Arabidopsis thaliana: one gene and its partners. The protein of the gene in region 2 interacts with the protein of the main gene of each other region in a pairwise test. Each region holds a gene or a part of one and is shown on either strand. Other genes may lie near its edges.

Evidence for each region.
Region 1: the proteins of NF-YB12 (region 2) and AT5G19490 interact in a two-hybrid assay, tested with the Arabidopsis thaliana proteins (one large-scale study listed by BioGRID).
Region 3: the proteins of NF-YB12 (region 2) and AT5G50915 interact in a two-hybrid assay, tested with the Arabidopsis thaliana proteins (one large-scale study listed by BioGRID).
Region 4: the proteins of NF-YB12 (region 2) and ANAC026 interact in a two-hybrid assay, tested with the Arabidopsis thaliana proteins (one large-scale study listed by BioGRID).

The regions. Positions count from the first base shown.
Region 1 is NC_003076.8:6,575,985-6,580,365, forward strand, and holds AT5G19490 (Histone superfamily protein), read right to left. Parts: upstream 2,525-4,381; 5' UTR 2,290-2,524; coding exon 2,257-2,289; intron 1,909-2,256; coding exon 1,836-1,908; intron 1,733-1,835; coding exon 1,639-1,732; intron 1,554-1,638; coding exon 1,443-1,553; intron 1,341-1,442; coding exon 1,283-1,340; intron 1,211-1,282; coding exon 785-1,210; 3' UTR 526-784; downstream 1-525. Other genes in the region: AT5G19485 (transferases/nucleotidyltransferase), read right to left, coding at 1-25, 133-228, 303-368; AT5G19500 (Tryptophan/tyrosine permease), read left to right, coding at 3,035-3,356, 3,439-3,479, 3,582-3,674, 3,759-3,833, 3,920-3,969, 4,058-4,147, 4,231-4,287.
Region 2 is NC_003076.8:2,634,182-2,637,991, reverse strand, and holds NF-YB12 (nuclear factor Y, subunit B12), read right to left. Parts: upstream 2,161-3,810; 5' UTR 1,899-2,160; intron 1,799-1,898; 5' UTR 1,789-1,798; coding exon 1,734-1,788; intron 1,565-1,733; coding exon 1,475-1,564; intron 1,382-1,474; coding exon 1,287-1,381; intron 1,205-1,286; coding exon 1,136-1,204; intron 1,050-1,135; coding exon 867-1,049; 3' UTR 559-866; downstream 1-558.
Region 3 is NC_003076.8:20,709,602-20,714,318, forward strand, and holds AT5G50915 (basic helix-loop-helix (bHLH) DNA-binding superfamily protein), read right to left. Parts: upstream 2,864-4,717; 5' UTR 2,652-2,863; coding exon 2,322-2,651; intron 2,227-2,321; coding exon 2,101-2,226; intron 1,992-2,100; coding exon 1,926-1,991; intron 1,817-1,925; coding exon 1,748-1,816; intron 1,657-1,747; coding exon 1,573-1,656; intron 1,467-1,572; coding exon 1,356-1,466; coding exon of another isoform or gene 1,335-1,355; exon of another isoform or gene 1,238-1,334; coding exon 1,163-1,237; 3' UTR 1,124-1,162; exon of another isoform or gene 990-1,123; 3' UTR 502-989; downstream 1-501.
Region 4 is NC_003070.9:23,215,453-23,221,028, forward strand, and holds ANAC026 (NAC (No apical meristem) domain transcriptional regulator superfamily protein), read right to left. Parts: upstream 3,758-5,576; 5' UTR 3,311-3,757; intron 2,549-3,310; exon of another isoform or gene 2,494-2,548; 5' UTR 2,465-2,493; coding exon 2,305-2,464; intron 2,205-2,304; coding exon 1,933-2,204; intron 1,519-1,932; coding exon 766-1,518; 3' UTR 501-765; downstream 1-500. UniProt on the Arabidopsis thaliana protein: Transcription activator that binds to the secondary wall NAC binding element (SNBE), 5'-(T/A)NN(C/T)(T/C/G)TNNNNNNNA(A/C)GN(A/C/T)(A/T)-3', in the promoter of target genes.

The DNA of each region.
Region 1 (4,381 bases), 3.9 Mb from region 2:
AAGCAGCATCTTCCCCTTCAACAACCTGTTCCACCAATGCGAAACGAAAAAATCTGAGCTCTATTGAAAACATTCAACCTAGAAACTCGCAAAAGGAAATCAGTAATTGTATTGAAAAGATAAAAGGCGTACGACGATCAGATCCTTGAGATTACTACTCTCGAGAAGATCCAGAACGTAAGACAACACCGGACGATTCGCTACGGGAAGCAACGCCTTAGGAACTTCCTGAACAACAACAACAAATTAGCAATTCGTCGAAACTGTTATGCTGATGATGAGAGTGAAAGAGAGAGACGGACCTTGGCGACTAAGGGAACAAGATAACTAGAGAATCCGCCGGCTAGAATCACGACCTGGAAATCCATTGTCGCAGCTGAATTGACGAGAGAAGACGAAGAAGAGAGGTTTCTGCTTTCTGGGGTTTTGATTTTGAGAAACGGTAGACGAAGACGATATCAATTTAACCCGCTTGTTTCTTTCTTTTGGATCCGACGGGTCGTTCCATTAATCTTGGGTTATCTATCTCACTTAAATATTTTAATTAAAATTAAACATTAACAAAGATTAAACCATACTTTATGTATATGATTTTATAGTTTGTGTAAAGCTTGCTATCAAATTAGAAGAGATGAATGAAAAAAACGAAATTACATTAAAGAGAATGAGAGCAATCTCCTACATACACACTGCTTCTATAATATATAAGTGTGTCAATTCCTAAGTTGTTGTTTTCTTTCTCCTACCTTTAGTTTTAAGTCATTTCACCTAAACTGAAACTCTTTCACTCTTGGTCTATGCTTTCTTCATCATAATCTTCCTCGTCACTAGCACTAGCCTGTTGTTGATCATCAGGATCTATTTTCATTTCGTTAATCTCCAACGGGTAATCTGGACTTCTCTCTAGCTGTGTTTCCAGCCATGTAGCATTGTCTCCATTCTCATCTAATTCAACATTAAGATCGAAGTTCCTTACTTTTACCTCTGAGTTACTACTATGATGATTGTTGTGTGATGCAACTTTCTTCCAAGATGTATCGTCGTGAGAAAGGCTCCCGTTTTCGGGAGACGGGGTCCTGCTGCTTTCGGGAGAACCGTCTTCTAAATCTTCTTCAAATTTTAGAGACAGCCCACTTCCTGTTCTTCCACTACTTCGTCCGCGGCCTCTACCTCGCCTTCCTCTGCCACAGCTAGTATGTTTGACCTCATGCTGTAACAAGGCGAAACATATGCGTTAAGTAATATACAATTGTCTATTGGCAAAATAAGTCTGGCTAGTTACCATTTGAGTGGTCTTTATCATATCTTCATCGTTGCAACTACTTCCATCAACAACTTTCCTGAAAAGTCGAACAAACAAGTTGTTAGACACGATACCGATATCAAAATTAGGTAGATTGATTGCTGACATAGAATAGAACTATAGAAGAAGCGGGCCTAACCTTCTTTTGGTAGCTGATTGGTCTTCAGTGTCTGAGCCACCCAAATCAGGAACTTTAGCGACAGTGTCTCTTAGAAAATCAAAGACATTAGTCGCTTGCACACACTGCTTCCTGGAAAAAGAATAGAAAAGTATTGAAGAAGCAAGAAAACAATTGGTTTATATAAGCAAAATCCAAAGATGAGATTCACACTTACAAATGAAAGGCGTTGACAGTTTTAGCACCTCGGCTTAGAGTTACATCATACGTGTGATTACACAAGTCTTGTAAAAACAGCTCCAAAGCTTTAGCTGAAAAGTTAAATTCAAAACCAGAACAGATCAACTACATGTGACACAAGCTAACATATGAACAACGTTTGAGTAAGAAAATCAAAAACATCACATCACTTACAAACAAGAAGAGGGACTGCCATTGCTATTTTGCCAACTTCCTCATCAGTTTGCATAATCTTCTTAATCCTTGTCTGAAACAAATTTTGAACATATCAACACATACAAAATCAGACTCAGACACTAAGAAATTTCTTATGTAGATATCAACATCTTTGATTAGCCCTAAACAAGATATCTCTGCAGTTTATTTATATCTAGCCATGAACAAAAGAGCCCTCCAAGTCCAAAGATACATTCACAAAGATAAATTTAAAAACCTAATGAAGACAAGGACCATGGAACCCTGAAGAAGTAAACCTGAAATCATAGCAAAAGTTGAACCTAACTACTCTCACAACTCACAAAACAGAGTTCATGGTTATCTCCATAAGAAGAAGAACATAACAAACTATAAAACAGTGAAAAGTAATGTTTCATACCGCTGGAAAACGTGTCTGGAGCTTCTTCTTCATGCTATTGTTTTACAGAGGAATAGCAGCTTCCAAAGTCAAGGGGAAGAAGATAAAAACCCTAATTTTGAAATTTGTGTTGCTTGCTTCCGTTCTCTCTGGAATAAATAACAAGAGAAAATCAAATTAACAAATATATATATTGATTCCATCAAACACGACAAGAAAAGGAAAAAAAATAAATTCCTTTGGATCTGTTTTTTTCTAGTTAGAAATTGGTCTCTGTTTTCTGACCCGTCCTTGTCGGACCCAAATCATACGCAATTGGACCTTTTTTCTCCCACTCTTTTTTAATTTAATAATGAGATCTTATATTTTATTTTGCTTTTCATTTAACAAGTTTTATGTAACAATTATTTAATTTTGACAGCATGTATTATGTAACATTTAATTTGATTTATCACATGATATCTTAAGAAACCATAAACTCAAAATAAATAAAAATTATTTTTATAGAGTAAATTGTAAATTATACTTTATGTTTGCATTGCTATTCTTTTACTTGCATACAACTTTTGTATCATTGATGCAAATAGTATTTTCTAAAAGCAAAATAGAAGCATAAAATGCATAGATTTTAAATTTAATTGGGAAATAAAACTTCAAAAATAAGACAGCCACACATGTTAATCTGGAAGCTAAGCTCTCTCTAACACAATCTTTTGACTGTCGGAAGTCGCAGAAAACAAACCAGAAGACTGATCATAGGCTTTTCATAGCTAGTGTCTGATATCAGACAAACACAGACATGTCTGTGTCTCTAAGCTACACTTGTCTTCTTAGATTACCCACCTTTTCAGTTCCAACGAAACCCATTAGTTTCAATGGACCTCTCCCTTTTTATCTACCAAGATCTCATATTTCCTCATCTTGTTTTGGTTTCAAATCAAACCCATTCATAAGAACTCAGACCCCAAGATTCTTCAAGTGTTTGCCTCAGAGAGTGTCTGATGAACGCAGAGAAACACAAGTAACAACAGAAGAAGAAGAAGAAGATGAGGAAGAAAAGATTGTCGTATTTGAGAGGCTCTTCTCTAACCTGAATCAATCAACATTGAAGCGAGAATCCGGTACAAAGACTGTTACCATTTTGCATGTGAATACCCAAATTTGGATAGAAATTTTTGGTTTTTAAGTTTTAGAAATTTTCAGGAAGTTTGTCCAGTGCAATTTTCTTGGTTGCTGGCACTACCGTAAGTGTGTCTACTTTCTCATAACTCTGTCCATATTCTTGTTGAAACTATGCAAGGAATCAAGTTTGTTTTCTGCTAAACTTTTATCCTTTTCTTGATTAGGTAGGTGCAGGGATACTTGCGATTCCAGCTGTGACACAAGAATCAGGTTTTCTAGCCTCTGCAGTCGCCTGCATTCTCTGTTGGGCCTTCATGGTGATGATGGATGATTCTTCTTATCTCTGTTTTATGTTTCTTGCAAGTAACGGATTGGTCATTAGTAATACATGTTGGCTTCAGGTTGTGACAGGTTTGCTGGTTGCAGAAGTAAATGTCAACACCATGAGTGAACTAGGCTCTGGAGGCGTATCTCTTGTATATCCCCTCAAACCAATACTTCTATGAAAACTTAGCTTAGTTATTATGTCTTTAAACTCAGCTTTGACATGATATTTTGGCAGGTCTCAATGGCGAAGCGGACTCTTGGGTCTGTTGGAGTTCAAGTTGTTTCGTAATCATCCTCTCATTCTCACTTCAGAACTTGCTTTCCATCACTGTTTCTTTCATTTAAACTTGAAACAAGCCTTTCTGTTGTGTAGTTGGTCTTATCTTCTCATACATTACACCCTTCTTGTGGCTTACATTGCTCGGTCATCAGGCATCCTTACCAACTTCCTCGGCATTCCGATGTATGAAACTCCAATTGATCCTCATTTACACTGACACTTTTGAGTGTTGTGCTTCTGTACTTATTCCCTAGAATGTTCTGTAGATGGGAGAGTGCAACTCTATTCTCACTGATCTTCGGAGGCCTTTGCTTCTTTGGAAGGTTAGCTCTCCATATTAAACTAATCACTGATGCCACAATTTAAATCAGAAACTGTATAAACACAAGGAGAACCAGAGTGGAATAGTGGTAGACC
Region 2 (3,810 bases):
AAACTAATTCGTATTGTAATTAATTATTGCATTATTAAGACTAAGCTTTGCAAATTAAATCGAGCTGAAACAGCAAAAATTTATTTAATTAATTGATGACAGAAATGGGTGAAATCAGATCTTTATAAAAGTTTTAAGTAATTTTTTTTCTAGAAGAATAATTATAATATTAAAAAAATAAAAGTGCTCGATACATTTTTACAAATGAAGTCGAAAATATTGTGAGATTCTGATTACGTAGAAATAATTATCTACTTATAAAAATTATTAGATTACTTATTACTGGATAAAATAAAAAACTTTGAAAGGCAGAAAACGAAGTGTGTGTGTTTGACAAAGAAGAAGTCCGCAAAATGTCGGCGAGAGAGTTAAATCCATTCTTCTTTGCCTAACCAAAATTACTCTTAACTAATAAATTAAACAGTTGATTAGACATCCAAGAGTGGTCCAACTCCTCTCCTCTAGCCCTTGGTTTAATTCCATGGTTTGGGAAAAGAAACCGGGTAAGTTTCTCCGGTTTAGATGCTTCAATGTTGAAGCCGTACAAAGGAATCCAGATTTGGTGATCAGACTAGAAATGGATTCAAGACTTCAGAATTATGAAGTTACACATAATTTAAGGGGATTTGGATTCGAATGACACTAGTTGCTAAGATTCAATAAAAACCTTACTAATTACATCTGAATCACCTAAGTGATTTTAGATTCAAAGAAAGGGGAAAAAACACAACCCTAAGTTAAAAAATGTAAAGAGCATATCAACACCAAGACGCGACGAATTTTGCACTTTACAGAGATATTGCTAGAAAGAAAAAGAAGTCAAAAGGATAATGTTAAAATAAGGGATTCCTTTGCGGTTTTGTTGATTAGCTTTGTAGACTTGTTTGTTGTTGTTGTTGGGGTTCTTCTAGTTGCTCTGGTTGAGGAACTGTAACACCTCCATTCATTCTTGCTCGAGCTTCTGCAAACATCCTCTGTTGTTCCGCTGCCGCCTCTTCTTCCGTCATCTCTGCTCCGCTATTCATCTTCACACTTCTCTGCGAATCCTGCTGCAGAATTGGCAATAACACAAATGATACTGATTATAATTTCATTCAAGTCTGGATCTTATTGTGAGCTAGGAGATGATGGTTACCATGGTTTCATATTTATGTTGCTCATACGCGGCATAAACTTCTTCTACGTATTCCCCAAAGCCAAGAACCTGTGTTTAACAAAATCAAGATTACAAAACATGTATATATTTCACATAGATGTATCAGACTGAGCTGAATGTAACACCAAACCTGTAAAGCTTTGAGTACGTGCTCAGGGGCTATTGTTCGTTTATCCTCTTTGTTACACACTTCATTCGACTCCGACGATATAAGATTTATGAACTCTACAATAAACAAATTTGAACATCATAAGTAATGAAATAAGCAAATTTGAAACAATGTTCGCATTCATAAATCTCAAGACTAATAATCATTACCTACACAACACTCAATCAATAGATCTTGAGCATCTCTAGCAACACGAACATCTGCGGGTAACATCTCCTTTATAATTTTCGTCATGGTAGCTGAAAGAACAAACATATTTTTTATCAGACAAAAATACAGAGTCATTGCATTGAGTAACCTGAAGCCATAGCTAGAGCTAGATTTACAAAATCTTTCAATTTAACCAAGAAATTGACAGAACCAAAAATTAAGTAGTAGATCGATCCAAAGAAGGAAACGAGACCGAACCTTTCGGAAGCGAAGCATCTTCCTTTGATTTTCCAACTATATCCATCGGATCCATAGTTTTAAATCTACATGATCAGAATTCAAAAGGAAAATCAGATTACCGGAAGATCTAGACCGCGAAGTTATAAGATGAAGAACAAAGGAGAAAACAGAGATAGACTTTACCGAGTTTAACACGGATCGAAACAGAGGCAGATCAACGACGGAGATCCGGTGAGTTAACAGACTCTCGAGACAGATTCACGGCGAGATCGGAGACGTGCAGTCGTACGGAATCTTATCGGCGGATTTTCTCTCTCCTTTTTCGGTTTCTCTACGCAGAAGTCGATTAGGGCAAAAAAACATAAGACCAGAAGTAAGTGCGTGACTTTCACTTTTGCCTTAAAGTGATTGACGGCGCGTAAGATCTAATTTCGTTATTTTTTAAGACAAATGAAATGGGCTTTTTACCGAACATTACATATGTAGGCTTGCTTGCAGCAGACACGACCCATTTCAGCCCAAGTTTTTTTTTTTTTTTTTGGTTTTGAACAAATCATCCGCTTTTTAGTCCACTGGTTAATCAGAGAAATTAGGGGATGTATTGAATTTTGAAGTATTTTGTAAGAGTTTGATTTATTTCCAACTCCATGTCATTCTTCTTTTTAGTATGTTATTCATGTTACATGTTATTCAAATATGATTTTTAAAATGTCTTCCTAAATCTTATGATATTCAAATTCAATAACTATGTTACTACAATTTTTTCTTGGACAAATATGTTATGAGACTTTTAGATACATTTTAGTTATAAATATGAATCAAATACATTTTAGTTCTAGAAGAAAAAACCAGATCTATAAAGTTTGTTATTAAAAGATAGAGAGAGAGGAGGGATGTAGTAGGCCAATAGGCAAATCAGAGAATCACAAATGGTATCTGGTCAAGAAGATTCCTGGTTAAAACTTTCATCTCTCTGTTTCCTTTTTCTTTCTTTGTTGGATTCATTAATTTGACATATCTCTATCATCACACTGATTCTCTTTCTCCCAGTTTGTCTGCAGATGCATGTGTGTAATCTAGGGTATATGTTTTTGTCCATTTGGTTTCATAAGGCAATAAAGATCCAGCTATTTACTACTTGTGGTATAGATTTTGACTGTTGAATTTTCAGATCTGATGTGTTTCGTTTGATCCGATTCGGAAAATTTATGTTTCGTTGACATTTTGGAGTTTAGTTGGAAGAAGAGTGAGAGTCGCTGGAGGCAGCGGTTCATCGATCTCTTCCTGTGAACACATTAAAAATGTAAAAGCATGAATAGATCGATAAACCTCTGCATCCAGCGTTTGCCTCTTGTATCTTTCTTATTGACTTGAATCTTTTTGTTTATTGGTTTTTGAAAGAAGAAAAAAGTGAGGGAAAACAGAGTCAAGTCCGATTACTTTTCTGGGAAAGCTGAGGATTTTGTGTTCTTAGAGAGCAGATGAAGAGGTGACTGTTGTTTCTGGTGAGAATTCGACCTCTTTAGTTTGTTTGTTTTTTCAGTTAATGAAGTGCTTGTTATTGAAGTGTGTAGTTGACTGATAAGCGCCTTAGCTTTATCTTAATGTTTATCAAGTAGATTTGGCGTTGGATAATTAAAAAGAAGTTCAGATTCTTGTAGGTTGCTTACTTCGTCTGACCAAACAATGTTCCTGAAAAAGTGTTGTGTTTTGTTTCATGTATCAAAAAGTCTAGCTTCAAAATTTTCTTGCTTTTTTCCAACATGCAAGATTTCTCTTTATAAATCGGTACATTTGTAGGTACAAATCGGTACAAATTTGCCATTGTATAAATCGGTACAAATTTTCCTGTGTTCTTGTAACAATGCCCTTTATACATTTGTAGGTGAGATAGAAGTTGGCATCTAAATTTGCTTTCTCTGGACCAGTGAAATCAATTGCAGTCTCCTATATATTGTAGTAGGCGATGTATCAGTGGTGAAGCGAGGATGACATCTGTGGGTACTTGTTCTTAATCCTTCACTCTGATATCTATGCTTTAGAAGCGTTTCAAGTTCATGAAGCTGATTTGATGTTGAGTTTTTAACAACAAGAA
Region 3 (4,717 bases), about 18 Mb from region 2:
CATCAAGAAATGAAAATCATACAAAAAAATCTCTATTCTAGGTTCGTTAATAAAAGAGGTTATTAATATGTATGTAACTGAATAACGATAATATACATAAGGCTCTTGCATATAATTTATTTAGGTGTATTCAAATAAATCCTGCAATTTAGGATTGAATAACTCAAGGAATCGTTAATTACCACCTCATGAAAATGTTAGACAACCAACAAATCATATTTACAAATACAACAGTATCAAATATCTCTTTCAAGAATTTTGGTATATATATATTAGACATACTCTAAACTAAAATAAAACTTATAACATATGTATTGTGAAAGGACAGATACAGAGGAATGGGAGTTATCAATGTGTGACAAGTGAGAGCAGAAAAGCATGACCAAACTATTCAACAGGTACATTAAAGTGTTCTCAGGAAGGGAAATCTAATCTTTTCTTCTGACATAATTTTGTAGCCAACTAAATTGACAGGAAACGAATCATTTAGATTTATATACATGCATAAGTAGTTATCCCTCGAACATTTTTATATATATAGGAAATATAACATGAGTGTGTGGATAACAGTTTACATTTAAAAAGATTGGAGGAAAAAGGAAACTTTGGTGCAAGAAATCAGAAAGACAGAAGTGGTGAAAATACAAGAACTTATAAAATTAATGAGTGGATACATCAAAATTCAATTATATTAAAAAAAACAATGATTAAGCTGATAGGTCTTCTTAGTTTATATGTCTTTCTTTCCTCCATCGAATTTGCCTCTGCCTCATATACCATTCTCTTTTAGTATGAATTTATCCATTGATTTTATGTAATGATTATGTTGAAACTCTCGGGACAAATAGAGAAAATGAGCTTTTTAAGTCTCTAAAATACTTTATTTCTTCAAACTATATAAACGGAACAAATAAGTACATCCACTTTTACAAAACCTGGTTTACGTAGATTTTATTCCCTCCGTGCAAATGGGAGGAGATTAAATCAACCTACATCCAATAAACGATAGCAATAATTACGAACCCACATCAAGATTTTTAACAATTTCTATATGAGAAATGTTAAAAATAATTGTAATGATAATAATTAGGTAGTTGAAGAGACAAGACCAGAAGAAACTCACGAAAGCAGGCTTTTGTGTTTGTGTCGACATGTAATTTTATCAAGGGAAAGAACAGAAGTTGTTGTTGTTGAACCCACTTCTGTCTACAAAGTTCTCTCTTTCTTCTCCCTCTTCCTAAATTAAGCAACACATCACTATCTATTAATCTTCCAATAATTGATTCTTATCTATCTTCATTCTCCTTATTATAATTATTATCTGAAATAATCACTTATAGAAAAAAATGAAAAACCTGAACTTGTGCATGTGTGGGAACTACAGAATTATCCAATAGTGAAGGAAAGATAGGAGTAGTTGTTGGCATTGCATTGGTAAAAGACGTTCCTACTTCTGGAGAACCCATCTGTCCATCAAGAAAATATCTACTTAAGATCCATAACCGGCTTTTCGGGATACATGACTTGGTTTTATCGGTAACCGGATTAAGAGACATTGTGTAAATGAAATACCTCAGATTGAAGTATGAGGCCATCAAGGTCGGAGCCAAAGTCATAGACCACCGGACTTATAGAAGTTAGCTTCATTGAGAGAAACTAATGAAACAGAAAAAAAAGTTATGAATTAGAAACATTAGTTTTAACATAAAATGTTACAAGAAAAAACAAAATAATTAAGAAAATGCACCTCAACTTGAGTCTGCAAGGTCTGGACATAATTTATAATCTCATCCAACATGAGGGCCTTCCCTGTTACCTATTCGTTTTCAAGTCACATTTAATCAATTAATAACATTTTCTAGAAACATTATAAAATTAAACCATTATCAATTCTCCTAAATAAAATTGTCTCTACTCTAGCTGACCTTATCACAGCCCGGAACAAGGTTTTGCAGAGTCCTCATCCGCTCACTTATCTTTTCCCTTCTCACCTTTACATATATATATATATAAGTTTAATCAAATATTAATCAAAATGTATTTTATGAAAACATGATTAATGAAGAAAAATTAAAATGTTAAGAGAAATGACTAAAATACCCTCTCAGCAAGGCTGTGGCTATCAGTAGCTTGGCCTCTTCTAGCTCGAACGTGAATGTAATCTGTTGGAGGCTCTTCTTTGCTTCCTCTCTTCTGTTTTTTGCTTTTTCTTCCCTCTACTCCTTCCTAATTCACCAAACCACACCAACATTTATGTTTTTGACTATCCCAACCCCATCACATAAATGATAGATGATACATTACAAGTTGGTTTAACATACCTTGGAGTTATTACTGTTTCTGGCCTTCCTCCCACGGGTTTTTCCGGTGTTGGTGATGGCTGATGGTCCGTGGCTGAGCTGGTCGCAGGAAGAAGAACCGGTGGTTGCTGTTTTGGTTGTGTTGGCCAGTTTCTCTGAACCAGAGTTTTCAGTTTTGTCAACATTATATTCAAGAAAGGAAATGTCTTCAACTGTGGAAATGTTTGGTAGTGGATAGAGATGGTTTTGATCGATGAAACTAGTGAGATTAATGGAGGAGTGAGGTGTAGGGAAGAGAAGAGGATCAAGAAGGGAATGAGGGTAGTTTTGGAAATAAGAGAAAGTTGCCATTTTAAGAGTAGAAGCTTCTGAGTTCTCTTATCTTTGTCGATAGAGATAGTGTTTTTTCTTTGTGAGAGAAGATTAAGGACTTGAAGTGGTTTATATAAGGAATTGCTTTTGTATTCACTATTCAAAGAAACAAGGAGAAACAGAAGAAAGAGTATTTTAGGGACCACTTGTATATTGAAGATACCTTTTTATTTGAGAAGAAATTACTACCATATTTCGGCGGGTAATTTATGTTAGATGATATGTTTATATATAATATCGAGATTGTATATTTAAGTAATTGCATTGAGTAACCATGGAAGAGTAAAAATGAAAATTTAAGTAAATAATGTTGAATTTCAAAAATTAGGTGACTAATGATCTTTCATCATTCTTAGATACGTATGTTCTCTTTTTTTTTTTTTTTCAAATGCAAACTCATGGAATATTTGTCTATTTATTTTGTTTAGTTTTATTACTCTATGGGTATCATGATATTTTAGAAAATTTGTTTCAAATTACTTTATGTAAGAACTTATAATTTTAAATTTTGTTGTAATTTGTATTCTCCATAGTTTTATGTTATTTAGAGAATAAATTATGTTTTGAAATATAAGATTATAAATACTACATAATTTGTAATACAACCATGTTGTAAAACTAAACAAGACAAATACTGATCAATATATCATTTAATTAAGACTTTTTTTATAAGAATATAATAGCGCATAACGTGAAAACAATAAATGTACTATAAAAAGAAGTAATCAACTAAACCCATTAAATGAACGAAAGAACGACCAACGTGGGCAGTCGAACTCGAGGAAAATGTTCTCTAAAACCAATTGATGTATTTGTATTGACCATCAACTACACTCACGTAAGCATTCAATATTGTCGCCCTAACAACGAACTATATTTAGAAATGCCCTAAAGCTATGGCTTGTTTTACTTTATAAGAGGGTCGGACCTATAATACACATATCAAAAAAGTTAATGTACACCAAAAGAGCAATATTTATCATTTATCAATCAATTTTACTTTATCAGATTGCAGAACCTTTGCCACAGCTAATATATAGATCAATATATAGGCACAGTTTAACGAGTCAGATATAATTAAAGACTAGATAGTAGAGAGATATATTACCCTATCCAAAATACTGTACATTTAGAACTAAATATGTAATGCCGCGTGATCTTCTCAATAATAATCTCTATGTGGATACCATAATACTACAAACTTTTGTCCATTTTTGTTAGAGAAAATAAAAACTTTTGTCCATTTCCCACTTTGGATCGACATAGGAAATTTCCTTTTCAGAAAAGGACAAAAGAAAAAAAATTGTGAATAAGGTGTGAAGTCCAATCCCATGATACCGTTGGGTATGCATAGAAGACAAAAAATCATAAATCTCCATTTTGTTTTGATATAATCGGGTACTCTTATAGTAATAATCGAAAAAACGAGTACTTGACCATCAAAATTTATCACAATCCATGTCCTTAATTATTTAGACTATTATAATTCCTTTCTTCTATTTATAAATTATTATTATGACACGTACTTAACAAAAACATTAAGCGAATCTACGATTAATTAATTATCAATTGTATACGTACGAATACGATCTATGGACTTTCTATTATGATTTTCTTTTTGAGATCAAGTTTAGAGCAGAAAGAAAACATGCTAATTAGGAACCAAGAAAACATTATGATTGTTCTTTTGGACATAATTTACATGTCAAAGGTCCGCATGAGCTTGTAATTAATTATCATAACCCGAAGATGATAGAGATTATGCACGTTTCATCCGGATGAGGAATAAACATTTATTGGCATCATATTTTCTTCACCAATATCTCTCTTTTGCTTCTTTTCAAATCAGGGTACTTGCACAAAACCTTTATTCTTTATCTAACGCATTTAATTAGCGGCTGATCTATTATTTGTACTGTGTTTTGAATATTCAAGATCACATTTAAAGAAAAGAATAAGTGCACGAGACTAATTACGAAAGGATGATATGAAAATGAATCTTGAATTACGAGATAGATTAGGTACATTACTTCACTCTAAGAAAT
Region 4 (5,576 bases), on a different chromosome or scaffold from region 2:
AAATTTTAATATATATTACTTTTAAAAAATAAATCGTACCGCGGTATATCGCGGGTTAAAATCTAGTTTATGTTGTATAAGTTAAACATTTGTTGTTCTACTATGTTCTTGTTTTTTTCTCTATATGGTGATGTCTAATAAAAGTAGTAAGCAGATTATAATGTTATCTCTTTAAATTCGGGGTTTGTACAAATGTAAGTAGTAAGCGGATTTTTAATACATATTTTAGGAGTATCCAATTTTGGTGATGCTATCTTTAATTTGGATATTTGAAAATCTACATACAAATAATCATGAGGGAAGAACCACAAAAAATGAGGGACATGAATTAAGTGAGTATACAACAATAACAAATAAATATATACTACAAGTATAATTTTTTTTAGAAGTAATTGTCCCTTCATTCAAGAATTGGTCACATATAATCATCATTCATATGGTTTATATATATATATATATATATATATATATATATATATATATATATATAATTAGGGATGCATATACATACATACATCCATACATACATACATACACACATACACACATACATGCGTGCGTATAACATATAGTTCCATAATGTAACAAGAATAATCAAAAGAAAATACCATATGGTTGTAGGTTTTTATTATGTACAAAACCTCCATAAATCCAGGAAATAACTCCTTGTTTTTCCCCTTCCATCTTTAAGTATAAATAACACTAGTGTGCATGTATTTTCATATATATTCACCTTGCATCTTTTTCATCTCTCTATCACTATTTCTAGAGATCAATCTGACAACTTGAAGAAGTAGAAGCAGCATGAGCATTTGAATACTCTTCTCCCATTTCAACAACCCTTTCAGAATCATTCTCCGGCAAATTTATTCCCTCATCTATCACATGATAACCCGTGTTTCTCGTGTCAATCTTGACGTTGTTTTGATGAGAAGAAGAAGAAACCACGGCTGCAGCCTCTTCATCATTGCTAAGCTGTGAAGCAACAAATTTATCGAGAACTCTCCAGTCAGTAGTCATTTGCTCTACTCCTTGATCGTAATACAGAGAGCTGAAACTTTGATTCCCTTGTTGCAATTGTTCCTCATGAGATATATTTGATGATTTCTGCAAGTTACTAATATTTCTTGTGTTATTGTTGTTGTCAGAATTGCAATTACTGGTAGGGCTTTCGAGCTGAGGAAGCTGGAGAAACATAGATTCACGAAGATGATGGTTTTGTTGTTGATGTTGTACCATTTGATTGTAATGTAACTCGAGCTCTTGCTTGCATTGCAAGTTAGGATTGTTGTTGTTGAATGCATTGAGGCCACAAGGCAATGTCTGCTGGTGATGGTGGCGGTTATAATGATGATTGGGAAGAAACTGTCGTGGAGAACTAGAAATGATCTCGGAGGCCATAAAAGAGAGCTGATCATCGTACCAATGCTGCGATGGTGATGAATGGTAATCTCCCATTTTCCTCACTGTCGCTGCCAATTTCTTCTTGAATACCCTACATACTACCCATCCTTCTTCCTACACACATCACATAAAAATATCACATTTACAACATCGCAAATGCACAACACTTGTCCATCACAGATGAGTTCTTGTGTGTAGTGAGTAGTGACCAATGAATTTCGAATTTGGATATAGTGACAAGTTTAGTAAACTTGTAATAACATTTTAAAGTTATGAATGATATGTATATAACATGTGTTTATGAAATTTTATAGTGAGTTGAATAATGCACTTTTGTATATATTGGAATTAGAAGTTGTGTCGTATGGTGAACAACTCCAATGCATTTTTAATGTAAATTGATTTCTCAAATGCATTCATTCTAAGAGACATACTTAAGAAAGATCGTATATACAGGGAAGCTCAACTCCTTATGCAAATAGAGTATGAGTTAAGATGTATGAGCGCCTTAGATCAATGTATATATACCTGAGGGGTTCCATTTTCACTTGTTTCTAAGCGATATTCGTGCATGATCCAATCGGATTTCTGACCATTTGGGGCTCTTCCTTTGTAAAACACAAGTGTTTTCCTCATACCGATAAGACTATGTCTTATATATATAGCCTTGTCTCTTCCAGTGGCTTTCCAAAATCCTGCTTTCGTGGCTCTATTGGTTCGAGTTCCCGTGGGATACTTCTTGTCTTTATGACTAAAGAAGTACCATTCGCTCTGCTCTTCGTTTCCTATCTTGCATAACTCTAAATTATCACAAAGAAAAAACAACAATCGTAAGCCTTAATTTATACCAAAACAAGGATATCACTACTAAAGAGAGATGATAGGATTTTCCTGCTAAACCTTGAAGATCACATGGCTCAATCTTGTAAAGATCAACATCCTTGATGATATCGATTTCTATTCTCTTTGATGCAACTTTTTTCCTCAAGTAGTAGTCTACAAGTTCTTCATCAGTAGGATGAAATCTGAAGCCAGGAGGTACTTGTGAAAACGAATTCATTCTTTATTCTTTGTTTTTCCGAGATTAGCCTGTTTATAATATGAAATAACGACTGTTAATTATATTATGGATCATGAAAGTAATTGTTATACAAACTCATTTCATTTATCAACTTAAGAAAAAAAAAAATCTGTGCATCGGCAAACTAATAAGAAAGAAAAATGTCAATGAAACTAAGAAAAACAGTTTTTCGTTTTCAAGATTTTGTTTTATATATGATCTAGCATTGATTTGCATCGTTTCTTTTACTTAGCCAGACACAAGTTAGGGTTATCTTTCCGACTTATTTATACACACATATGTATCATTTAAGACATTCATGTGTGTAGTATTTTGTGGGAATAAGAAACCTATAAATATCTATACATCTTTAGAAAAAAAGAAAGATAGTTGATTTAAGCCGATTAAATGAGTTTAGATTCAAAGGACTCTGGAAGATGGAATAAGGATACATAAAATAAAATATCACTACTAGTTTCCAATTAACCATTTCCCGTATAACTAATCATAAATTAATATGTTAGATTAACTGATAATTGCATTTTAAGTATCCGTAAATAGAGTCAAAGGAAAATATGAGAAATATCTATAGGATCATTCTATAATCACCAATCGAAAAAAAACAAATCTTAAGGAAAAACCTAGACCACGATCGAGTCTATTAAGGATTATACTTTGCTTAGCTTGTACCATCAGCAACATTGAGTAGGATAATGATGTTAATTATAATTTTAAAAAATCAACAATTATCAAGAAAATAAAAATAGTAAATATATCCAAAAACATAGAGATACAGAAGAGGATCAAAGATGGAGTAGAATCTTCAAAGGAAGTTAGGGTCTATACCTCAAAAAAAAAAACTCAAAAACAGGCTGATTCAACTCAACCCCTTCAAAAAGCTCCGGAATTGAGTTATTGTATGTGACTAGCTAGGTTCTATTGAATCTTTCCCTTGTACTTGGAAAGATCGAATACTTCACGATATGCACTATAAAGTACGATCAGAACTAAAGAAAGAGATAGATAGAACCCTAAAAGGAGATGTTATGCATATGGAAAAGATTTGACAGTTATCATCGGGATGTATAGCCACCGGAAAGAGATCGGATCCCAAGAGTCAGAGATATTGAGAGAGAGGATGGGAGAAGAGAAAGAGAGTAGGGTTAATAAAGAAGATCAGACGGTGATGATGATGAATAAGAATAAGAAAAAGAGAGAAGAAGACACATGAAAAAGTGTACAACCGTGTCCTAATAATCTATACTACTTTGTCTCTCTCTCTCTCTGTCCTTCTCAATCATAGTCTATGTCTTTTAATAACCCCGAGTGAGATAGAGAGACTTAAATTGTTGCAAAAGCTTCGGGAGAAAAGAGAGGCGAATAAGGTTTTGGTACTAAAGCAAGATTTTGATAGAGAAAGAGAGCGGCAACCTCCGATCCATTACCACCCACCAGCCCTTGATGGAGACGGTCCAAAGTTTAAAATATCTTCTTTTTTCTTTTTTAAATACCGTTATATATATGGGACACATATTCTCTTTGAACATTTTGTCCTTTGGCATCTTCAAAAGTAAGTTCATAGATTTCTGTAAGACTTAACTCAGTCATGTTCTACGGTCCAAATTCGTAGTCTAAATGTTAACATGAGTGTCTAAGAATCCTCGATAAACATCGCATAACTATATTGAGACTTTCGTATGTTCTTTTTACTTTGCATGAGACTTAATTACCATCCAGTTTAGCCAAATTATTATAAAACAAAACAAAACAAAACATAAAAACACGAAACAAAATAATATATATAGATGAAAAAATCAGATGTGGAATTGGAGCCACTATTAATGGAATCAAGGGCCCGCCAACAATTGGAATGTGTTGACGTGGCGGCTGATGGTCTGGCGTGAGATAGGCTTCGATCATTAATCTCACAATTTGCTGTTCGGTCATGTGGGTCTCATCCCGTTTTCCCGTTCTTATTTGTGAAATTTATGACCCATATATAACAACATTAACAACACACATTTTATTTGAAAGTTTAAATCATCAATATTAGATGTTAACAAAAAAAAATCATTAATATTAATTGTCTTCTGTTAAAAGAGTAGAGTAGGTTTCAATTTATTTTCATAGGTGAAAGCAAATTTTGCATACGCTTAAATTTTCAACTTTAATTCACCCCATACTCTATTGCAACTCAATACTCCCTCTGTTTCTATATAAATGTAGCTTAAGGGTTTTTATTTTTTTTCAATTTAAGTGTTGTTTTCAACTTTCTATGCAAATAATAAATATATTTAGTATTCTTTAACCAATTATATTTAATCATCTATTTTTTTATTGGTTGAATTGGTTATAATAAATGATGTTTTTATATAAAAGAGGTAGATTAAATGAGATTTTTATGACTTCTTAATTTGTGTGAAAAAAACCTTAAACTACAACTAATATGAAACAGAGGGAGTATAAATCTTTATCGAAATTCTTTCATCCAATGTTCTAGGGAAATTAACAACAACAACAAAAATAAAAAAATCTAACTAATATCAGCTTCATCTAGACATTTGTGACAGAATTTCAGTTGTTTTCTAAAACTCAACCTATTATAGTATTATATATGATGAACTGATAATACAAATAAAAAGGTTCATGAGTTAATGGCGCTAAATCAAAAATGAAAATAAATATAAAACATGTATTCGTTTTTACACTTTTAGTCTTTTAGAAGAAAACAGCATACATTTGTCATTAGAAATTCATTTTGTGAGATTTGAGGTAACATTGAAGGTAGTGATGTTGATCGTAGCTAGTTTCCGTTTCATGAACATAGTTTGAATGCCATGTAAAATATGCCTTCTGTTAGTTTTTTTTCAATCTTACATTTTTTTTGTCTATGACTACAAAACACATATTGCTTAACGAAGTGTTAATATTTTTCATTACTGTATGTTATTTTCTTGTTACGATTGGATGACATTAGCTTAAAAAAGTAATTTGCATGGTTATCATATAAGAAACATTTCAAATTTCATAAATGAAACTGATTTTGAGTTGACTTTCTCTAGATATTGGTTGACAGCTAAACTTTAACTTTCTCACTGGATAATTAGTTTTG